Linked DNA regions of Saccharomyces cerevisiae S288C. Each later gene encodes a partner of the first gene's protein in a complex. Each region holds a gene or a part of one and is shown on either strand. Other genes may lie near its edges. The genes, in order: MCM22 and CTF3. A codon is read from its position in the direction of its gene.

What was found.
Region 2: the proteins of MCM22 (region 1) and CTF3 are in contact, whole or in part, in a cryo-EM structure (PDB 7L7Q), measured with the Saccharomyces cerevisiae proteins. Residues at the interface, in NP_012669.1 of Saccharomyces cerevisiae: Leu57 (codon at 1,347), Arg58 (codon at 1,344), Lys59 (codon at 1,341), Pro60 (codon at 1,338), Phe63 (codon at 1,329), Ser64 (codon at 1,326), Arg66 (codon at 1,320), Leu74 (codon at 1,296), Asn77 (codon at 1,287), Phe78 (codon at 1,284), Leu79 (codon at 1,281), Leu81 (codon at 1,275), Arg82 (codon at 1,272), Ser85 (codon at 1,263), Ser86 (codon at 1,260), Glu88 (codon at 1,254), Trp89 (codon at 1,251), Leu92 (codon at 1,242), Met93 (codon at 1,239), Gln96 (codon at 1,230), Met103 (codon at 1,209), Gln107 (codon at 1,197), Ile110 (codon at 1,188), Asp113 (codon at 1,179), Leu114 (codon at 1,176), Glu116 (codon at 1,170), Leu117 (codon at 1,167), Lys120 (codon at 1,158), Leu121 (codon at 1,155), Gln124 (codon at 1,146); in NP_013485.1 of Saccharomyces cerevisiae: Leu296 (codon at 2,078), Glu297 (codon at 2,075), Leu299 (codon at 2,069), Ala300 (codon at 2,066), Gln301 (codon at 2,063), Trp303 (codon at 2,057), His338 (codon at 1,952), Leu339 (codon at 1,949), Ser342 (codon at 1,940), Ile346 (codon at 1,928), Ser384 (codon at 1,814), Ser387 (codon at 1,805), Met388 (codon at 1,802), Gly418 (codon at 1,712), Cys456 (codon at 1,598), Glu460 (codon at 1,586), Phe463 (codon at 1,577), Tyr464 (codon at 1,574), Asn500 (codon at 1,466), Asn501 (codon at 1,463), Ala502 (codon at 1,460), Thr503 (codon at 1,457), Ser504 (codon at 1,454), Asn505 (codon at 1,451), Arg506 (codon at 1,448), Phe507 (codon at 1,445), Met510 (codon at 1,436), Ala511 (codon at 1,433), Asp549 (codon at 1,319), Asp550 (codon at 1,316).

The regions. Positions count from the first base shown.
Region 1 is NC_001142.9:675,264-678,609, forward strand, and holds MCM22 (Mcm22p), read right to left. Parts: upstream 1,516-3,346; coding exon 796-1,515; downstream 1-795. Other genes in the region: SGM1 (Sgm1p), read right to left, coding at 1-589; protein transporter TIM8, read left to right, coding at 1,708-1,971; TTI2 (Tti2p), read right to left, coding at 2,178-3,346. UniProt on the Saccharomyces cerevisiae protein: Component of the kinetochore, a multiprotein complex that assembles on centromeric DNA and attaches chromosomes to spindle microtubules, mediating chromosome segregation and sister chromatid segregation during meiosis and mitosis.
Region 2 is NC_001144.5:877,863-882,685, reverse strand, and holds CTF3 (Ctf3p), read right to left. Parts: upstream 2,964-4,823; coding exon 762-2,963; downstream 1-761. Other genes in the region: leucine--tRNA ligase NAM2, read left to right, coding at 1-619; CSR1 (Csr1p), read right to left, coding at 3,178-4,404. UniProt on the Saccharomyces cerevisiae protein: Component of the central kinetochore, which mediates the attachment of the centromere to the mitotic spindle by forming essential interactions between the microtubule-associated outer kinetochore proteins and the centromere-associated inner kinetochore proteins.

The DNA.
Region 1 (3,346 bases):
TTCTTAAAGCTTTGATTTGATTTGATTGCCTCAGCTCAGTTTCCGCTAATTTAGCTCCTTCTTTTCTCAACTGATCTATCAAGTCGTCCTTCTCTTTAATCAATTTGAAAAAACTAGAATCCGTGGTTTCGATTTGTGATTTTCTGTTTAGTTCGTTAGTTAGGTCATCAATCTGTTTGTTTAATCTTAAATATTCAGGACTAATTTCTTTGACTAATTCTTCAACAGTAAATTCAGTGTAATTTTTAGGTAGCCATGTAGGCAGTGATACCATAGTGTCGTCGAAGCAATCAGTCCTATTGTGATCGGGATGCACCACGTCATCGACAGCGATTGAATCTGCCTTACCTGTATCGCCTTCCACAGTGCTTTCTGATCGTACCGCAGGATCATCTATGTTTTCAGCATTGTCAATTGACACCACACCGGCAGCCGCATCATCAATGGATGTACGAGCACTTTCTTGTTCATTGTTTGACAGCACCACAGGCGATGGAGACGACAAATTTGACGTTGACCTTTTATTTTTCTTTCTTCCTTTCTTAGTTGCCAAGGAGAGTCTCTCTTCCAACGATAATTTTTTACTCATAGCAAAATTGGTATACCACTACCATACAACACTTTTTATATACTATTCTGGACTAAGGACCTTTTAACGACAGTCTATTAAAAGAGGAAGTCAAGAGCTTTTTGGTGAATAATCTACGGTTACTGCCAAATTATGATCTTCTAAATTTTGGCGCTTTATAACATCCTCACACCACTACGAAGCACACTTTGACTACGAAGTATTACTTAAGTTAGACTGGTCTCATTGAAATCTATTAGTTTGATGTATTTAGTCCCTGGATTTGTAGAGCCCTCAATTACTGTTATTATATTAGCCCTAAGTAATAATCTGTATATTGGTATCGTTTTAGATGAAAAATCGTTTAATGTCAGATTCAAATCATGCTCAATTAGTCTTTTCATTAACAGCATGACTTCGTTCGTTAAGCTATCTATTGATTCATCATTATCATCCAAATTCGGTACTAGATAACCCTTGAGAAAGTCCGCCAGTGAGTCCCAAAGCTCTTTATTTCTGGCTTTTCGTGTTCTAATATGGGCGTGATCTTGCTTCTTACTGTCCATAATGGTCATTTGATGCTGCAGTTTTCGTAGCAGCTCTTTCAAGTCACTATTAATATTATTCTGTAACAATAACATGGCCTTTTGATCAACTGATTGATCATTCATAAGCGAGAGCCATTCACTGGAACTTTGGGCTCTCAAAGACAAAAAATTCGATGTCAAACTGAAACCAATAGGATCAGCTCTCTCTGAGAAGAACATGGGTTTTCTTAATAACTCTGTAAAGACCTCAGAATTGACCGGTTTACCCTCTGTATCCAGAGATCTCTTCGTGATCTCATCGATGGCACCTTGAGCTTGCTTCAAGAAATATCGTTTGTTTCCGATCTGGTTCTCCAGGTTCTTTATGTAGACATCCAGGACATCCTTTTCAACATCCATGTTTCCTTTGTGAGACTTTCTGCCGTTTGCTCTTGTCCCTCTTTGTCGTCATATGCGTCTTGTTTGTTGTTACGCTGCATATCAAAGCGAACGGTTAGTTATTAACTAACGTAAAAATTGATGGAAACATTCATTTATATGAAAGTATTGAAGAAGAGGTAAAAAGGAAAACAAATTTACAAACAACAAAGAATGTCTTCTCTATCAACGTCTGATTTGGCCTCCCTTGATGACACTTCCAAAAAGGAAATTGCTACTTTCTTGGAGGGAGAGAACTCCAAACAAAAAGTCCAGATGTCAATCCATCAATTCACTAATATATGCTTCAAAAAATGTGTTGAGTCTGTCAATGATTCTAATTTAAGTTCGCAAGAAGAGCAATGTTTGTCTAACTGTGTGAATCGGTTTTTGGATACTAATATCAGGATTGTGAACGGGTTGCAAAACACCCGTTAATATGAAACCGATTTATCTCTCCGAGTCATTATTCTCTTTACCTTAATATATCTGTAAATAAGCAAATGAATATTTTAATATATGTCCAAGGTTTCTTTAAAAGGGATTCTTCAGCATAAAGGGCAAATAACTCTTTTTGTTTATATACTGTCTAGTTATATATATATATATATGTATATGCATTTGTCTGTGTCTGTGTCTGTTTCCTATGAGAACTCAAAAAGTAACTGAAACCGCGGTTGCTTAGATAGAGTCGATAACTGTTCACCCATAGCGCAGTCACAATTCAGCAACCAGCTTATCGTTTCCTTACATTGTTGTAGTATTGATTCGTTCAACGCATCCTCTTGCGAACACTTATCGTATGTAACTAGAATTAATGATAAAATGTCGAATCTGTGAGCCACTATTCTTTCATTCGGGCAAACCTTTATGAGAGTACTTACCACTGAAAGAGTTTTTGAAATAAGTTTTGGAAAAGTTGTGTAAAAAGGATTTCGTACAATATATTCACCTAAAACAAAAATCAGCCTCTGGAGATGTACAACAGACCCTTCTCTTTGAAGTCTCAGTATGTTCATTGTGCATTCCAATGCGTATAACGTCAAATTTTCGTATGCAAGGCTAGCCCTAGGAATTATGTTTTGCAAGATTATCTCTGACATGAACTTTTCCAGGTGATATTGATACTTTGTGTAATTGTCCAAAAATTCTACTTTATATAACGACTGTATCGTTGGGAAAACGACCCGCCATATGGCTATTGTTTCATCAGCATTGTATGAGGGAGGGAGAAAATAGCACATATTGATTAGCGTCTTTTCGAACAGTGGAAATAAACCAGTACTAGAGAACTGTATCCATTTTGAGTCATTGGTTTCGTTCATAAAGGTATGATTTAATAGCGTCTGTAGGAGCAGAACACCACGAAGTTTAATTCTTCTTATATCAGTGGTATCATCTAGTATGTTTAGAATTCCTGGAATAATCCAAGAAAGATTCGTAGATATGTCTCTCCTTTTCAAATGTAACAGAATTACGTAGAATAACGGAATGCCTTTCAAGCCACCCTGACTTACCCACGCCTGCATTAGGTTATCTTCTTTCAAAGACATTCCAAGCGTGGGTTTGAGACCAAGATTACGTTGCTCTTTGAGTTCGAAGTTGCTTTTGCGTTTTAAAAGTAGTGGCTGTAACTTAGAAATAAGGACGCACATAATTTCGTCATGTTCACTTTTGTTACGCTGAAAGTAGTAATCTATAGTCTGCAAAACATCTGTGTTGATTTGTATGTCTACTCCTGGAGATATGGAGTGATATGAGAGAGATTCAATAAGGTTGACCTCATCGGACACCGTAATTGCACATCCAGTAT
Region 2 (4,823 bases), on another chromosome or scaffold:
GATTGTTGGTATAGAACGTTGGTTGCAGAAGGTTCTTCATTTGACCAAAAATATTCTCAGTCTCGAGAAGGATTTGGCAATAAGTAAAGACTACAAGACCCCGACCGACTTAAATGATGCAGAAGTGAAATTTCACAACGATTTCCAACGCTTCTTGAAATCAATTACGGAATCATTTGAAGTTAATCTATCGTTAAACACTGTAATATCTGATTATATGAAGCTAACCAATATTTTAGAAAGTGCATTGAAAAAAGGTGAAGTAAGGAATGAAATGATAGTACAGAATTTACAAAAGTTGGTAACCGTTATATATCCTGCTGTCCCGTCAATTTCAGAAGAAGCTGCAGAGATGATCAACTCCCAAATGGAATGGAACCAATACCGCTGGCCAGAAGTTGAGCGCACTACTGAGTCCAAATTCAAAAAGTTTCAAATTGTGGTAAATGGCAGAGTCAAATTCATGTACACGGCTGACAAAAACTTTTTGAAATTAGGTAGGGATGCTGTTATTGAAACTTTGATGAACTTACCGGAAGGGAGAATGTATTTGATGAATAAAAAAATCAAAAAATTTGTCATGAAATTCAATGTGATTAGTTTCTTATTCCACAAGTAATCATATGACGCCATGAATTTACCACTAGTGCTTGTAAATAGTTAAATATTAATGCCTTATAGATATAAATTGTCCAATCTCCTTTTTGGAAGTTATAATATATATATATATATATATATGTATATAAATGTGGATGCATATTCTAAGAATTTTGAACGCTATACTTTGAGAGACTCTTCAAATATGTAAACAAGAATGCTGCAATGTCTCTATATGGATTAGCAGTGTTACTCAAATGCATTAAAATCTTTACTCTCAAGTCGTGAATGTTATTAACGCCCTTTATCCAACCATGCTGGCCAATCTCATCATGATGAACTCGAAAGAAATTGTTAAACGTCTCTTCATTTATGATCCCACTGGTGAATTTTATTTTGGTATTTTCGGCCGTTTCCAGTCGTCTTAGAATAATAATACATATGTAGGATAGCGCTGGTATACCAGTTATCGTGAAAAATTTAGCGTTCTTGAAGTCTGCAGTTGGGATATAAAGATTCTCCAAAATCTGCTTAAAGAAATCTGGTGAGACTCCAAACAAACTTTTGGATGACAGAACTTTATTCCTGTAAAGATAATTTGTCAAATCCATGATATATTGGTTCTGCATCCGAACGAATTTGTTTGTTGACGGGTATTGCATCAATTTATTTTTCGTAGCAACCAAGTACCTGCACGCAGCTGATAATAGCAAAGGATCGTCCGAACTGAACACTTTATTCATGATGTCAGGGCCCACAATCAAATATTGGATCGCATAATCCGACTTCGTTTGTTTCGACAGTTGAGTTAAAATATCTAACGAGCTGATGAAAGCCATCGTAGAAAATCTGTTTGAAGTAGCATTGTTAAAGATTTTGTCCAAAGTTAGCAGGCTTTGCATGTCATGCAGTAGTGTCAACCCGAGTGCTATCAATTTATCATCTAAAACCCAGTTTGTAATCATTTGTAAAACGTAAAAACAAGTTTCAGAAAATGTGCAATTATTGTCGTGACCATCTCGTGTACTCCACATAAAAATACTGGCCATAAACTTAACGAAAAATTCCCTTGTACCACTGATTAGTTCAGGCTTCCATAATGGCAAGATTCCGCCACAAACCTTTTTCAACGTAAGCTCATCGAGTTTTAAGTATTTCAAATTACAAAACGTTTGAATAATGCGAGAAGACAGTTTATTATCCATTGAGGACACCGAAATAATAATGGGAATAACTTCTTGCGGAGTCTCTATCTGATGTGCAAAGCATCGCTTCAATTGCCAAATGCACCATTCGTATGGTGATGACGACTCATCGCGGCTATTTTTAATGAGAATGATACTAGAGTACAAGTGTTTGAGAGAATCCCTAGACATGACTTTTCGCGGCAGTAAAACATTGCTGTTTAAAGATGGCTTCATCATGTAATCTACATCATTGGGAATATGCAATTGTGGCCAGTTTTGAGCTAATTGTTCCAATGAAGTGACATCCCAAAGAGAGACCGTACTGTCAGAGGGAACATATTCTGGAAGTGATTGAAGTCGAAGTGGGTATATAGAATCAGCACCTAATTGATGAATTTCACTCAAGTACATGTCAATTGTGTTTTGGACAGTGTCAGCGGGAAAATTAGCGGGATGTGCTCTGGATAATATTCTTTTCAAAATGGATAGGAAATGCGCATCCAATTTTAAGTTTCGATGACTTTTCAAAGTCTTTCTATTGCAATTGATGGTAATTATTGATTCAGTAATCTGACTGGATGCGCCCACGAGACATTGAAATCGTTGCAAAATAAGCGTCGCACTACCGGGAGCGTCCCGGTAACCTGGATGCATAGCGCATCTCTTGATAATAGACAACTTCCAAGGTTTGACATCAACGGGCGTCGTGGCTTGCCAAATAACCAGGGGAGTTATCCACTTCTGTAAGAACGAGAATTGCCATAAATGTAACCAGATAGAACTGGATATATTGTGTTCTCGTTCTGAATGTACAGGAAATAGGAAATAAACATGCACTAACCATTTGCACAACGCAGATTGTAGGACCGGAGGCGTTTGTATGCGATATCTAGAGAATACCGTTGGCGTACCGAGATGGTTAATAATCTCCAAAAGAAGTTCCTTCGTCAAGTAGCCATCAGGTAAAAAGCAATTTTCGACGATGTACACTTTTGTAACTGTGTCTATTATGGAAGTTTCACAGAGTAACCTTACAAGTGCTTGTAGTTGCGGCGAAGAAAGACCATATTGTTTTGATTTTTCGTATAGCAGGCTTAAAGTGGTTTTAAGGGCCTGTGGTGGCGTTCGTTCGTTAGCATTCGTTAGTGAGAGGATGATATCATCTAGTATAAGACTCATTCATGTAAAAAAAACAAAAATTGAAGGGCGAACCGTATTAGCAGGCGTATTGTTTTTCATTTCATAGTTGATTGTTTTTGATAATAAATGATTCTATAATTTTTCGCGTATTATACAAATAAAAGTAAAAGAAAAATAAGATAGAGGGACATATAAAGAAATAGATGTTTTTATAATAAAGGTCTATACAGTATGGAGCGTCGCGTGGCTTGGCTCAAACTTTTAGAGAACCATTGTAGTCATAAACGGATCTTGATCTGATGTACGGATCTAACTTGGAGTAGTTTTCACAAAGAGCGGTGGAAAGTTGTACTCTTTTCTCCTGCAGTTGAATGTATGCTGGATCGTTCAATGGCTGGTGTTCAATCCATTGGGCAGTGACAGTCAAGAATTGTTCGACCAATTCTTCTCTCTCCTTTTCGATCATAGCGCGAGTCTCGGTGTCTTTCAGATGGACGTCCAAAGAGCCATCTGGTGGAGTGTAATGATCCAAATCATTGTCATTTTCTCCGCCCAGATACCTAGGGATGTATTGGGGTTGGATAAACTTGTGCAATTCGTCGATATTCTTAGTGAAAACAATCTTGGACGCGACGACCGGATCCAGCCAATTCTTGATGATGTTCCAAATCGGGTTAAAGATCCAAGGGGCCTTATGGATAAGTAGATGGCCCAAAGATTCCGGGTAGTGAGCCTCAAAACAAGTGATTAGAAACTTGACGGGGGCATAGTCCATATTGGACATGGAGAACCCGTTCAGATCGAACAAGATGGTGGTGGATGCGGGGTAGTTTTCTTTGAAGAAAAGCTTTGATTGCTCGATGACCAACAGGGAGAATTTTTCCAGCTCCTGTTCAGTTTGGTCGGAAGAATGATGTAATCTAGGTCTCACAAGGATGACTGGCCTCATGTCATTGTCGTAACCCTGGATGGTGGCCTTTTGCAATTCCAGGTTCTTAATGACACCGGTCTCGTTATTCTCATACACAGCTCTTTCGCCACCGTTTATGATCTTGTTAATAGTGTCCTTGCGCCAGTACAAATCGTGACCCAACATGGCGATGGTCTTGTCTGCGTTCCACTTTCTGGCTCTGATAAACTTCAAAATGGTGGCGTCTGGAGTTTCATTCTTGATATCGTGCCAGAACTGCTTCTTGGTCGTTTGCGGGTCTAGATTGGCTAGTGCCTTGTGTATCTTGCCCTTTTCATAGAGGTGTGCCGCTTCAGCGGCTTCGCTGGAGTCCTGTGTATGGTCTGAGGACTGAAGCTTGCTAAACCAGGATGATTTCTTCTTCTTAGCAGGGGTGGACGAGGAGTGGAGGGAGTTATTAGGGAAAATATGAGTTCCATCCACGGGAACTTGCCACAGATGGAAAAGGTGTGTCCAAATTTGCTTAAGGACGACCTCCTGGTCTTCGGTCAACTGTCTATCAAAGGACATAATCTAGTTTATATGTGGTCTTCTTATGTGCTTTTGTGCTTTTATGCTTCTGTGTGCGTACGTATCCGTATATTTGTATGTTTGATTTTGTTTAAAGGAGCGTAAGTGACAAGTGCCAAGATTTAAAGAGCGTACCAAACGCTATTGTTTTCACCATGTGAACAAAGCTGTAACGATTTTATGTACGTACGCAAGAGGACGATGCCGATTGAAGGCAGGAGCTCAACAAACACGAAACAAAACAACGAAGAAAGAAAAGAAATATATCAGAGAACAGAGACCGCCTCGTTTAGGGCCGCACGTATACCGCGCACTCTTGGGACGCAGGGACGCGATGGCCTTGCCATGTGCAAGATAAACAAGCTGTCAACGGCACAAGTAGCGTTTATTTGAGACCTGCTTGCTTTAGCTTGCATCAT